2 linked regions of the Yarrowia lipolytica genome follow. The protein of the gene in region 1 interacts with the protein of each later gene in a biochemical or structural test. Links are inferred from orthologs where the notes say so. Each region holds a gene or a part of one and is shown in the gene's direction. Other genes may lie near its edges.

Region 1 (6,753 bases):
GCTGCAGGACGACTCGGTCGACCGAGAAGGCGACCTGTACATCCGGTCCGTGTGTTTCTCGCCGGACGGTAAGTACCTGGCCACCGGCGCCGAGGACAAGCAGATCCGAGTGTGGGACATTAAATCTCAGAGCATACGGCACGTGTTCACTGGCCACGAGCAGGACATTTACTCGCTGGACTTTTCGCGAAACGGCCGACACATTGCCTCTGGCTCTGGCGACCGCACAGTCCGAATGTGGGATATTGAGAGCGGCCAGTGTACTCTAACCCTGTCGATCGAGGACGGCGTCACCACGGTGGCCATCTCGCCCGACGGCAAGTTTGTGGCTGCAGGCAGCTTGGACAAGTCTGTGCGAATCTGGGACACCTCTACCGGTTTCCTGGTTGAGCGTCTGGAGGCCCCTGATGGACACAAGGACTCCGTCTATAGTGTAGCTTTCACCCCCAACGGTATGGATCTTGTTTCCGGCTCGCTGGACAAGACGATCAAGCTGTGGGAGCTGCAGGCTCCTCGAGGCATTCAGGCCAACCAGCGAGGAGGCGTCTGCGTCAAGACGCTGTGTGGACACAAGGACTTTGTTCTGAGTGTGGCCAGCACGCTGGATGGGCAGTGGATTCTTTCCGGCTCCAAGGACCGGGGTGTGCAATTCTGGGACCCTCGAACGGGCCAGGTGCAACTCATGCTGCAGGGTCATCGAAATTCGGTCATCAGTGTGGCTCCTAGTCCCATGGGCGGGTTGTTTGCTACTGGAAGTGGAGATTGCAAGGCTCGAATCTGGCGATACTTTCCTGTCAACAGATAATCCTGGGCGGTCGCGAGGCCGGACGGGTGTCTGGCAGTTAACAAAGACATTAGATGTCTGGATGAAGCCTGCTCCGTTTGCACGCAATCTAGGGAAGACAGGGCTATGTAGTGTATAAAATTTTGTGGTATTATTATTAGACAAACATGGAGTTGTAGTGGTGGAGTATATGCGAGTGCAATACTGTATGTACTTGTTGACGATGGGGTATCAACGTGCTATGTATACTTGTACTCGTTCATGTTTACCCTCTTCAGACAGCTGGTGTTGACGTTTTGGTCATGTGAATGAAGATACCGGGTGGAGCCGAAAAGTGGAGCTGAAAATGTCCCCACTTTTCAACTCAGCTCGGTTTCTGCTCTCTTGGTTTTTGTCTGTGATTACTCTAACGCCAGCCTCTCTCTAATGTCCACTCATTCGCCACTTACCATGAATGGCTCTGGACCTTGTTTGCTCAATAGCTCCACGGCTCCCCGTGGTCCCCATGTTATTGATGCTCTCGGCACCTTTGTTGGCAACGGCTCACGGAGATCAGCAGCTCCACCCAGCCCGCTGGCCAATGCCACCACCATCAACGCGGCCAACGTCAACCCGTCCAACTCGGGCCTCAACCAGCCGCCGCAGGTCATGTCTCTCAACGAGCTGCTTGAAGTGCACAACGATCCGCAGCTCGACGCGCGACTGCCTCCCGAGAACCCCAACCGGCCCGTGATCCGCCACCAGCGCGAGATTCTGTACGGCAAGTGGAACATTGGCCCGTCACGGGCCGACAGACTGGCAGCCAAGATTCGCAACAAGTTTGGCCCCACGGCACGCAAACGACGCAAGGCCATCAGAGAAGACGAGAAGAAAAAGGCCCTTGAAGAACAGCCGCCAAAATACATGCTCACGGACTTCCACCATCAGCTGGTGCAGGAGATGCGAGTAGTGATTGAGAACCAGGAGGCGGTTTTGGAGCAGCTCACGAACCTGTTGTATCAAAAGGACGCCGAAATCGAGAAGATGCATTACGACATGATGTTGGTCTCCACTCCGCCAAATGGGACCCTCGCTAGTATTCGGGAGGAGCCCGTGAGGCGGTTTGGCGGAGGTTGTCGTGAGTAGTGTTTCAGTGGTGATAGGACCCTCGCCAGTGGTGGGAGGAGCCGTTCTCAAGAGGCATGGTCATACGTGTGGGTCCACCAAACCGCATTATCAGGGCGTATATGAGGCATCTGTGAACTAGATTGAGGTATGTTAGCTACAAGTAATGGACAAGTTGAGTGTTCATTCATCCAGAATGTTTCAAAGGCCTGTTACTTCTCTACAAGTACAGGAACAGATATGAGCACAATCACAAGCACGAAAGTGACCAGAATTCAAATCAATTCCATCATCTCCTCGTTTCAATCTTCCACCATTTTCACTCGAACCTGTTCTTTGACCAATAACATCTTATGTCTTCTGAATTGGATGGACATAACTGGATCACGTCAAACCGAGCAGAGAGAATTCCAGTCAGTGAGCAGGTTCAAGCACGTCATGGAACGACTATTTTACAAGTACTTGTACTTGTACTTGTACAATATACCAGGTCAATTGAACTTCAAGATTCGTCAGTCGGAAAACGTGAAAGATATCACTCACCTCTTATTCACCCTAATTCACCTTCTTGCTCACATCCATACATCTGCCGACTCCGTACTAACCCAGAATAGCCGCTACTACTGACAACGAAAACAGTAATATTGGGAAATACTTCCGACAACCAACAAAACATCGGAGAACTCCAAACCTAACGTTCACTGATCCACTGAAATCCACTCTCCGAAGATACCCTACTTCTCAATACTCTTCATCTCCATACTCTTCCAATACTACAACCGTTACACAACAACCACTTTCAGCCCGTCAAAACACCGACTTATTCCATCTCAGCCAAAGTTCATAACTGTCATCACTTATTATCACCATTCAACGGAGGTGTAAACGTACAATACAAACTACCGTACCCCTTACCCTGTACCCTGTACCCCAACCCTAACCCTATCATGAACCCCTCAAAAAGAAGGTTGAAGTATGGCGTGGTCAAATTCAGTTACCCGGCCGCAAAACGCAAACTTTATGCGATTAGTAATCACAATAGTACAATCAACTACGAAACGCTACGACTTTGGAGGACACAAATCCGGCGAAAACAACGCCCGAAGATGATCTTACGAGTGGCTAGAACAATGGTATCCCTTCGCCCCCTCATTTCCCCGCAGTCAATAGAGTTTAATACGCCACTGGTAGCGTATATATCCGAGATGGCCTCAACTTCCACAACCTTCTCACGGAACCCTAACCCACAGGTTTTGGGAGGAGGCGGCGCCCCATCGATCACGAGGTTTGGAAAAAACGGCGTGCTTGACGAGGAGGAAAAATTCAAAAAAAAACAGGCCGTGACGAGACACACAATCTTTCAGGCGACACAGCGAAATCGACGACAAGACCAAGCAGCCACAGCGAGAGGAAACGGGCGGAGAAAAAAACCACACCAACAAACAAATAATAACTCATCTCGCCACGCAACATGGCCAGTCGACGATCAAGATCTCATGCGGTTTCGTCTGCGGAGCCGGAATCCAAGTCCACATCACCGCCGCCCACAGACGCGCTGCTGCTGAGACGGCTACAGAACGCGCTGACGTTACCCAACTCGTTTCTCAAAACCAATGGGATCGATCTTTCGGAAGATGCACGTGTTTCTGTGAACGGGCTGGTGGAGCTCCAGAACGAGTTGCGGCAGATTCGACAGAGGACCCGTGGCGTGCTGGAAAACCACAAGGCCGTGATTCGGGCCATCGACGAAACGGTGGGACGCCGGGAGCGAAAGGGAGGCAAGAGCGGAGGTAAGGGTGTCGGAAAGGGCAAGGGAAAAGGACCCAAGCAGAGCAGCAGCTCGTCGTCAACCTCGTCGAAAACAGCAGCAGCAGCTTCTGGAGGGTCTTCTCAGACCGAGAATAAGGACATCAAAATGGAAGATGTGGACGAACTACCCGCGGAAAAGAAGATTGAACCGGTCAAACTCAACATTGATAGCGATCTAACCACGATCCAAACCTCTCCCCCCGGAGAGGGCTCCCCCAAGGAGTATGAAAAGAACCCAAAGTCCGAGTTTGTCGACTCCCAGACGCTGCCCCTGTCGGTGCTCAAGCTCTACGACGAAAAAACCATCCCTTACACCGGAGAGGAGGCTCTCAAGCTGAAATATGGAGTCGCCTCTTACCCTACCACGGACCTAAAGGACCAGTTGGCCGGCCCAATCCCGGACCAAGACTACACTCGGGCCAAGCCGCCCAACCAGGTGCAGTTTTCGACCTTTGCGACTGCGATCGAGCCCTACTTTCGACCCTTTTCCGAGGAAGACGTGTCCGTGCTCCTCCAACAGTCCATCCCGCTTGGAGCCACGGGTGCTCCGCTTTACGCCACGGGCAAGGATGCAGAGATCTCACCGTACCTCGTGCCCCCTTTGGGTCCCCCCTACACCGACGCGTGGGCTGCTGAAGACGCCGAGGCAGGTATTGCTGCTGGCAACGCAGCCTCAGCGTCCCGGTTCTCGCCGCCCCCAAAGACGGAGCTCGCGGAGATTGAGCCCAAGGGCAAGAGCGAGGATCTGGTGGACGACGCGCTGGAGAGCTCGGACATTAGTTGCGGCCCTCTGGCGTCGCGTCTGCTGTCTGCGCTGCTCCCGGACCCCAACAAAAAGGAAATCAAGGAGGAGCCTAAGGACGACGAGAACAGCGCGACCCCTGCCGCCGCAGTGTCGTCTTCGCCTCCACAAAGCCCGCTAATCAACCCCAGCTGGAAGGTGGCGACAGCCAAGGGTGACTATCTGACGCTGGAGCAGCGGCTCAAGCGCGAGTTTACGTACGTGGGAATCATGGACGTGAACAAAAAGAAGCAGGGCAAGCGGTTCTCCAAGCGCGACGACGAGATGGACCTCATGGACGATCTTGACGACGACGAGAACAACGAGGACCTGGAAATCGACTGGGTGCACGGCCGGGAGGACGACGAAATCTGCCAGCAGATGCGCGTGCTGCAGAAGAAGCTGCGCCAGGTGCACAAGACCAACCAGGCACGCAAACGTATCCTACTGCCCATCGTCAAGGAGCAGATGGCGTACCAGGAATTCCGGCAGATTCTGGAGGACCTGGACAAGCAGGTGGACCAGGCCTACCTCAAGCGGATCCGCAACCCCAAGTCGAAAAAGAAGAAGCAGCAGAACAACAATGGCACCGCTGTACCTCAGGAGCGGCCCGGTCTTCGAGTGCTGCTGGACAAGCGAAACCGGTGGATCGACAAGATTGGGCCTGTGTTTTCGTCATCTCCACACGACATGAAACGAGTGCCGTCTGTGTCTGTGTTTAAGGATCTTGAGGGCAGTGATGATGAGAGTGACGGAGGCGAGTTTGACGACTCCATGTTTGTGCAGTAAGACGCTGATGTGCAGTAAGACGCAGATGTGGGTGCTGGGAAAAGGGTGGCTATTGCCGCCCCATATAGTATATAATAGAATGGATGGGATGGTGACAATTGAGGTGGTGACAGATGGCAGTTGCGTCGCGTAGAGGGTCAGCGTACTTATATTGTAGTGTGTTCTGAGGTCTGAGGGGTTTCAAGACAAGAGACAAACAGAGGTCCGAGGCGAACATTGTGCCAGCAGTTCGTACAGAATGTACGACATACAGTACATACTGTACAGAAATGTACTTGTAGTGGCAGACTTGAAACATTCACAAGGAGATTTCCGACATGTGCCCGGTAAGAAGCCCTTGTAGCCACGGTTTAACCCTGCTGTAGCTGTAACCATCCTCTGGCTCACAGTAACCATGCGGAATGTCCAGCCCTGTTCTAAACTCCATTATTGTACGGAGACAACTGCTTTTGCTGGGTGACTGACAGACGGTGATCAAGCGACGACTGAGGTAAGCAGTAACTTGGTGGCCGTAGTGGAGTGGCGAGCGGGGTTAGGCGCGAAACATGGAGACACTAGCGGTGGTCACGGGTAGTCTGGGTGGTTTGAATCCATGTTGAATGTCTAGTATCATTCCTGGAGACAATGAGTCGTCATAGCCACTCTATCTGATTGTGGCATTCTTTGAAAGGAAGAGTGTAGGAAGAATGGGCTGAATGGTGAGCGAGAGTGGGAGTGGGAGTGGGAGTGAAAGAGTGGAAGAGTGGAAGAGTGAAGAGTGGGTGGAAGAGTGAAGAGTGAGTGAAAGAGTAAAGAATGAGTTGAAAAGTAAAAGTGAGTGAAATAAAAGAAGATATAAGTATTTGTCAGTCAGTCATTCAAAACCATCTCTTAACAGAATGTCACTTATCTCACTACAAGACAACAACATACAATACCGTCAGATCCGTGATACCAGTACAACCACCGTACAGAAAGTACTCGCGCCCGAAACAAACATTCTTGTACCTCAAATCCATCATATAAGACACCCACATTGCAACATACAACACCCACACTTTGCTTTCCCGTAAACCATGCTCACTCTGCTAACTCTTCTCACTCTGCTCACTCTGCTCACTCTGCATCACATCAACTCCTAAAGCATCACGGCATAATCGCCGAATAAAAAGCGTAGGAGGTTTGTCAAATCTCGTGACCACCAGTACAAATCTCACGTGACGAAATAATATGACAACCTCCACGTGACCCGTTCTTTCGCTCTAACCGGCATTGCTAAACCGCGCATAGCAGCTGCATTTGCAGGACAGATCAAAATGCGTTTGTCACGCAAGGTCATGTCGGGCACAGGGCTAGTGCACGACGTTACGGCAGTCTCATCTTCATCGTTAAATATATACAGGCCATTCCAGATGGCTATGCTATGCAAGGGACGTGACGGTGAGGGAGGGTGAAGGGGAGGGGGAGTAGAACGGAGTCAGGCTGGTTCAATTGGCGTAGGGCTTTG
Region 2 (6,382 bases), on another chromosome or scaffold:
CTACTCCGGAAAGACCTCCGGTTTCGAGACTGTGCACGGCCTTCTTGGCCGACTGATGCAGATGCTGCGAGTTTCGTGGATCGAGAACCCCAAGGAGTCCACTTCCCGAGGCTACTGGATCGAGGAGTCGCACTCTGAGACCTTCTTCCCCGGCCGAGGCGCCACCATCCACCTGCGAACCAAGGACGGAGCCGAGGCCAAGGTAATTGGAGAGATGGGCATTCTGCATCCCAATGTCCTGGCCAAGTTTGAGATTCCTTATGCTTCCTCCAGCATCGAGTTCAACATTGAACCTTTCATGTAGGGGGAGTATAGAGAGTAATAGATTATGATTGATGTACAGATTCACAAACAGACGAACCAAGCGAGGAAGGGGTGATAATCCAACCGAGTGTAGATGTGAGCGCATATGAGTCGTTGGTAGCTGGGGGGAAACCTACGATGTGCTACGATAGGTCATTATAAGGTGGTATAGAGATGTATTAAATAGCTATGTTACATTTTATTTGCTTCGCTTTGTCCAGCCTTGATTTTGGTGAAGACTGCAATTCTTTTCCGTTATGGTCTAGTTCTTCTTCATCTTCATCCAGGCCTCGAAGCCAATACCGCCAAAGACAGCGGCTACACCAGCCCACTGGCCGAGAGTCAGCCGGTGGTTGAACCAGACAACGGACAGCAGCATGGAAAACATCTTTCGGGTCACATTGACGGTCACCAGCACGACAGAACCAAACTTCTCGAGGGTCTGGAAGATGAAGACCTGGCCCACAGCTCCACAGAGACCGAACAGAACGATGTCTCGCATGATTTCGGGATGCAGTCGGATGAAAGCGATCGCAGTATCTAGCTGAGGACGAGAGAAGGTCAGCAGAGACACAGTGGTGAAAACACCAGTGAGCAGGTTGAGGCCACACATAACATGGGGCCCTGTAATATCTGCATTCTTTCGGAAGATTTGGTCCTGGGTGGAGTTGGTCAGTCCGTCAAGCAGCATACTAATACCAAGAAGACCCAGACCGTAGAGCTGGTGCTCAGATCCGGCACCAGAGGCCTTCTTCGGAGCAGCATGGAAGATGGTGAACATGGAGACACCAATTGTTACAAGAACAACCACAGCGTACTTGTAGGCCGGGAACTTGCGTCGGTAAAGAGTCACTTGTAGTGCCATGAGTGGGATCAGCTTGCAACTCTTGGCCAGAATGGAGGTAAGGTAGTCGACGTATTTGAGAGCAGTGTAGGACAAGGGAGAGGCCAAAGACTGACTGAGAGCCACCAACGACAGCTGTTTGAGTGTGTACATGCTGTCGAAGACCGTGGTGTTCTTCTTTAGACCCTTGGCTGCTCTGCGGCTCTGTTTATACTGCAGGTAGGCGTATCCCACTGCAGCGGCCAGAAACGACTGGACTGTGTTGATGACGAGAGATGCTCGGAAGATTTTGTTGTCGGGACCGTATGGTGTGGTGGCAATTCGTTCCTGGAGCACTGCCCACGTCAGAAACGACGCGTAGATGCCCGAGACACATATGATGAGATCGATGATGTGTCCCTTGGTTGATTTGGTGGTTTCGGGTTTCTTTTCGGTAAGTTCAACGGTCTCTGTGACCTCGATATTTTCACTCAGATCTGCGACGGCAGCCTGGTTTCTTTTTCTGAGCTCTGACATGCTTTTTCAGGTTGTAAGAGGCCGGTGGGGAGTATGGAGAGTATGAGTACATGTACTTACGTGTTCTGCATGATCTTGCATGGAGAAGTGATGTAACCGACACCTAATGGGGAATGAGCACGTGACGGTGCTTGGAGTTGGAGATTTGGGCGATATTTTCAAGGGTGGTTCAAGACCTTGCGTGGCATTTATGGGACTGGTTATGCTCCATGAGAACGGGGATGGTGACTATGATCGTTGTTTAGCCTGACACTTGGGACATGATACTAATTATACTTGTACAGTAGTTGGGAAACACTGTGAAATTTCAAGCACACACATTTCAGTACAGTACTTGAAAAAATTACAGAGAGGAGATATGAGAAGGTGTGTGTAAATGATTTGATCTCTTTCTACCCAACGACATACTCAGTTTGTTCTTGAGAGCCAGCCACCCCATCTTTTATCCCAATTTCAGCACCGGAGCACTTCTTTTTCAGCGCTTTCCACTTCTCTTCTTACATACAGTCATCGTTGGGAGAGTTGGGAGAGGCTATTGTTTGGCAGTGTGTGAGTGGTAATTGAGCATCATACAAGTATGTTCAGAGTACAATGAAAAAGAGTCCCTCGGCCGGCCGCATTTTGTGCAAAGACATATTTTCGACACATGAAATAGTATATAAAGACCCGATTTCCCCCCTCATGCACCCCACCAGTTTGGCTACAGTGACAGGAGAGTGTTTGCCACCTTTCACTTGCGCCCATAATCCACCAACCTCACACATCCTCGCTCGGGTTTGACTTTTGCTCTGCATATTTTCTGTAACTGGGCTTGTATAGCACACTCTCATCGTCATATAACCACCACCACCTCTTGCACCACACACCGCCATCACCAGACCATGGTATTTACGCAAGAGCCGTTTGACCCCATCACGGTCAAGCCCAACGAAAAAAAACGGGTGGCGTACTTCTACGACTCGGATGTCGGCAACTACGCCTACGGCGCCGGCCACCCCATGAAGCCCCACAGAATACGAATGGCCCACTCGCTCATCATGAACTACGGTCTCTACAAGCACATGGAGATCTACCGGGCCAAGCCTGCCACCAAGCAGGAAATGTGCCAGTTCCACACGGACGAGTACGTCGATTTCCTGTCGCGCGTCACTCCGGACAACATGGAGCACTTTGCTAAGGAGCAGGCAAAGTTCAACGTCGGAGACGATTGTCCCGTTTTCGACGGTCTGTTTGAATTCTGCGGAATTTCCGGCGGAGGATCTATGGAGGGAGCCGCCCGGCTTAACAGAGGCAAGTGTGATATTGCCATCAACTGGGCCGGAGGACTCCATCACGCAAAGAAATCCGAGGCGTCCGGATTCTGCTACCTCAACGACATTGTGCTGGGCATCATCGAGCTGCTCAGATACCACCCCCGAGTCCTGTACATTGATATCGACGTGCACCACGGAGACGGAGTTGAGGAGGCTTTTTACACCACGGACCGAGTCATGACGTGCTCGTTCCACAAGTACGGAGAGTTTTTCCCCGGTACAGGTGAGCTGCGGGACATCGGAGCCGGAAAGGGCAAAAACTACGCAGTCAACTTCCCGTTGCGAGACGGAATCGACGACACAAACTACAAAAACGTGTTCCAGCCCGTCATCAAGGCCATCATGGAGTGGTACCAGCCCACTGTCGTTGTCCTGCAATGCGGTGGTGACTCGCTGTCGGGTGACCGTCTTGGATGTTTCAACCTGTCCATGCAGGGTCATGCCAACTGCGTCAACTACGTCAAGTCCTTTGGTTTGCCGGTTCTGGTGGTCGGAGGAGGAGGCTACACAATGCGAAATGTGTCAAGGACGTGGACTTTTGAGACCGGTCTGCTTCTCAACAAGATGGTGGGCCCGGATATCCCCTACAACGATTACTACGAATACTACGGACCCGACTATAAGCTCGAGGTGCGACCTTCTAACATGCAGAATGCCAACTCTCCCGAGTACCTGGACAAGATTCTCACCCAGGTGCTTGTCAACCTTGGTCGAACCAAGTTTGCACCTTCTGTGCAGATGACCGATGTGCCCCGAGACGCTCCTGATGATGGAGATGAAGAGGAGGACTCGGCCAAGGCCAAGGACACTAAGGGCGGCTCCCAGATGGCCATTGACGAGCAGATTGAGCACCCCAACGAGTTTTACGACGACGATAACCTCGAGGGTGGAGATGCCAAGGACATCAACAACTTCAAGGACAAGGATGTCGCCATGGAGGACTAATTTGTATTATATGTAGAAGAATAAATTTATTGTGACTAGCTATCAAACGTTGGACGGGCACATATCATATGATACTTGTATAGAAATAACACACAGGAGTATGGAGACATTAGTTCAAGACTTGTGGATGATGCGATAACATGTTTGTGTAGAAGATAAATTCAAACTAATACAGTATGGAGAATGCAATGGTTGACTATCAAAGTCGACTCTGTTTTCTTTTCAAATGCCAATCAAACCTGTACCCACCTTGTTTCTGTAGTCCTCATACTCCTGGCCAAAGAAGGAGACGAGAAACTGCTCTTCAAAGTCGATTCGTTCCCGGAAAAAGGCCCAGAGAACTACAAAGAAGGCCGCAAAGCCCACAGAGTTGAACAGCAGCATCTGAGTGCCCAAGGCCCAGTAGAAGAAGCCAAAGTAGGACGGGTGACGCAGCAGAGAGTAGATACCTGTGGTTACAAGTGTATGCTCCTGGGTCTTTCTCTGGACGATTCTGTGGGAGAAGTTTGTGGCTCCGTGGATCATTGCTAGCGAGCGAGCCAGCTGCCCAATGATCATTACCACGATTCCGCAGGCGCTGATGATACGCACATCGCTTCGGTTCTGTAGGTTGGGGAAGAAGTAGTACTCGATCAGCGACTCTGCGAGCGAAACAACATGCGCAATGTGGTAGGCTGCTCCATTTCGAAACAGGTAGCTCTCATAGGATACCTTGGGGGTGTTGTAGCGCGCTGTGATGTAGTATTCCAGAAAGTGGAAGAGAGCCAGAGAACCCAGGTAGAAGGGCAGTTGGTAGAAGTCGACGTAGAAGGCAGCTAGGAAACAGGAGCCCATGACAATTCCGAGTAACATTGCTGACAACGCAATCCAGTCCAGAGGATTGTCTGTAGGAAAGTAATCAGGCACGTGATCTGGGCGCAGTGATTCTCTGTGGATCTTGAATCTGCCTGAGGAGCCACTTGAAGCGATTGGCGTGTCGTAGACGAGGTCAGGAATTTGTTCCTGGTCAATATCTTGTGATTTCCTCTCTGTTTCCTTGATGATGGTGTCCCACACGTCTCCTCCTCCATCTTCATAGACCGTAGAGTCGATGGTAGGTTGGTCTTTGGGTGGAATCATCTTGTCGAGTAGTTGACTTGGTGTGGCGGTGAGGTTGCCGTCTGCGGTCGTGGCATGGTCCATTATATAGCTGTTGCGATTCTCCCCTCGCGCATATGTCGCTCTTTTTTTGTTTCCGTCTTGTGTCAGGATCTGATCCGAGAAGGGACAGCTCAATAGCTCTAGTACAATATCAGTGCAAGGCAAAGTTTCAGTATGCGCGACTCCCAACCTTGCACCACGCATACCAGAGCCGAGTGCTTGATATTGACGTTGCCTAATTAGCACACACCGCATTGCACCAAACACACAATGGCAACACCTCGACAGTCATTATCGGCCGACGAGGGCATGGTTTCGAGCACAGCACTGGAGCTGCTGCTGGCAGAAGTGGTCCCTGCAGCTCTCCGAGTGTCGCAAGAATTGACAGAGCCGGAAGAGGGCTCCAAAATGGCTCCGTTTGGATACTTGGTGGACTCGGAAAGCCACTTGGACAACGTGTACTTCCGGGTGGAGGGATACGGATACCGTGTGGGACGGGGCATCGCCGAGAGCTTCTCCAACGAACGACCACACTTTGCAGATACGCTGGACATGATGAAGTTCATCTGCAAAGACGTGTGGCTGTTGCTGTACAACAAGCAGGTGGACCATCTCAAAACCAACCACAGAGGCACGTTTGTGTTTGTGGAGAACCAATTTCGAGGCTGTCAACGCATGAGTGCCAAGGGAGGCCAGGTCGAGACCATGAAGGGGGCTACTCCGTACCTGTGGTTCCCCGTGGGTGTCATTAGAGGAGTTCTGGCCGCTCTGGGAATCCAGGCCGACGTGACGTTTGAGACCACTCAGTTGCCGGTGGTCTACTTCAACATTCACGTTGTGCAGTGATACAATATGGGTACAAGTTAACAAGGGTATAAGCATGGGACGGTAACTATACATTGAATGGAAAGAAAGCTATAAGTTATAGACAAGCAAGGCACGATAGATAAATATGTGATTAGACCTTAGACGTAAGGCTACGAAGAACACCACTCGGGAGCGCTTTCTGGATACACAATGATCCGCGACGTGTCAAACGCCTCAATGTGTAGCTCGATGAGAGCTCGACCTCCTCGAGATCCCGCGTATCGTCGGTATTCTTCACTGACACTGGCCAAGTTCCATCCCTGCAGTCGTCGCAGACAGCCCACGATTGTTCCTGTACGATGGCGGCCCATTCCACAGCACACCAGCAAAGGATACGAGTCTCTGTCCATGATGATTTGCAGGGCTGCCACGATGGACGACTCCGTTAGCTGATCCCAAGGGTTGGTTCCTTCGGTGACCAGTCCCAGGTGGTGCACGACAATCTCGTGGTCGT

The links. The genes of interacting proteins can lie anywhere in the genome.
Region 2: of the proteins of YALI1_A14390g (region 1) and YALI1_E27104g, one has a biochemical effect on the other in vitro, tested with the Saccharomyces cerevisiae proteins (2 studies listed by BioGRID). The link is inferred for Yarrowia lipolytica from reciprocal best matches to the Saccharomyces cerevisiae genes NGG1 and RPD3.

What each region holds. Positions count from the first base shown.
Region 1 is NC_090770.1:1,435,651-1,442,403, forward strand, and holds YALI1_A14390g (uncharacterized protein), read left to right. Parts: upstream 1-3,359; coding exon 3,360-5,267; downstream 5,268-6,753. Other genes in the region: YALI1_A14345g (uncharacterized protein), read left to right, coding at 1-805; YALI1_A14368g (uncharacterized protein), read left to right, coding at 1,211-1,909; YALI1_A14377g (uncharacterized protein), read left to right, coding at 2,039-2,515; YALI1_A14414g (uncharacterized protein), read right to left, coding at 5,684-5,752, 6,681-6,753. UniProt on the Saccharomyces cerevisiae protein: Component of the transcription coactivator SAGA complex. SAGA acts as a general cofactor required for essentially all RNA polymerase II transcription. At the promoters, SAGA is required for transcription pre-initiation complex (PIC) recruitment.
Region 2 is NC_090774.1:2,706,555-2,712,936, reverse strand, and holds YALI1_E27104g (uncharacterized protein), read left to right. Parts: upstream 1-2,544; coding exon 2,545-3,921; downstream 3,922-6,382. Other genes in the region: YALI1_E27144g (uncharacterized protein), read left to right, coding at 1-304; YALI1_E27113g (uncharacterized protein), read right to left, coding at 566-1,663; YALI1_E27077g (uncharacterized protein), read right to left, coding at 4,144-5,316; YALI1_E27076g (uncharacterized protein), read left to right, coding at 5,332-5,907; YALI1_E27059g (uncharacterized protein), read right to left, coding at 6,039-6,382. UniProt on the Saccharomyces cerevisiae protein: Catalytic component of the RPD3 histone deacetylase (HDAC) complexes RPD3C(L) and RPD3C(S) responsible for the deacetylation of lysine residues on the N-terminal part of the core histones (H2A, H2B, H3 and H4).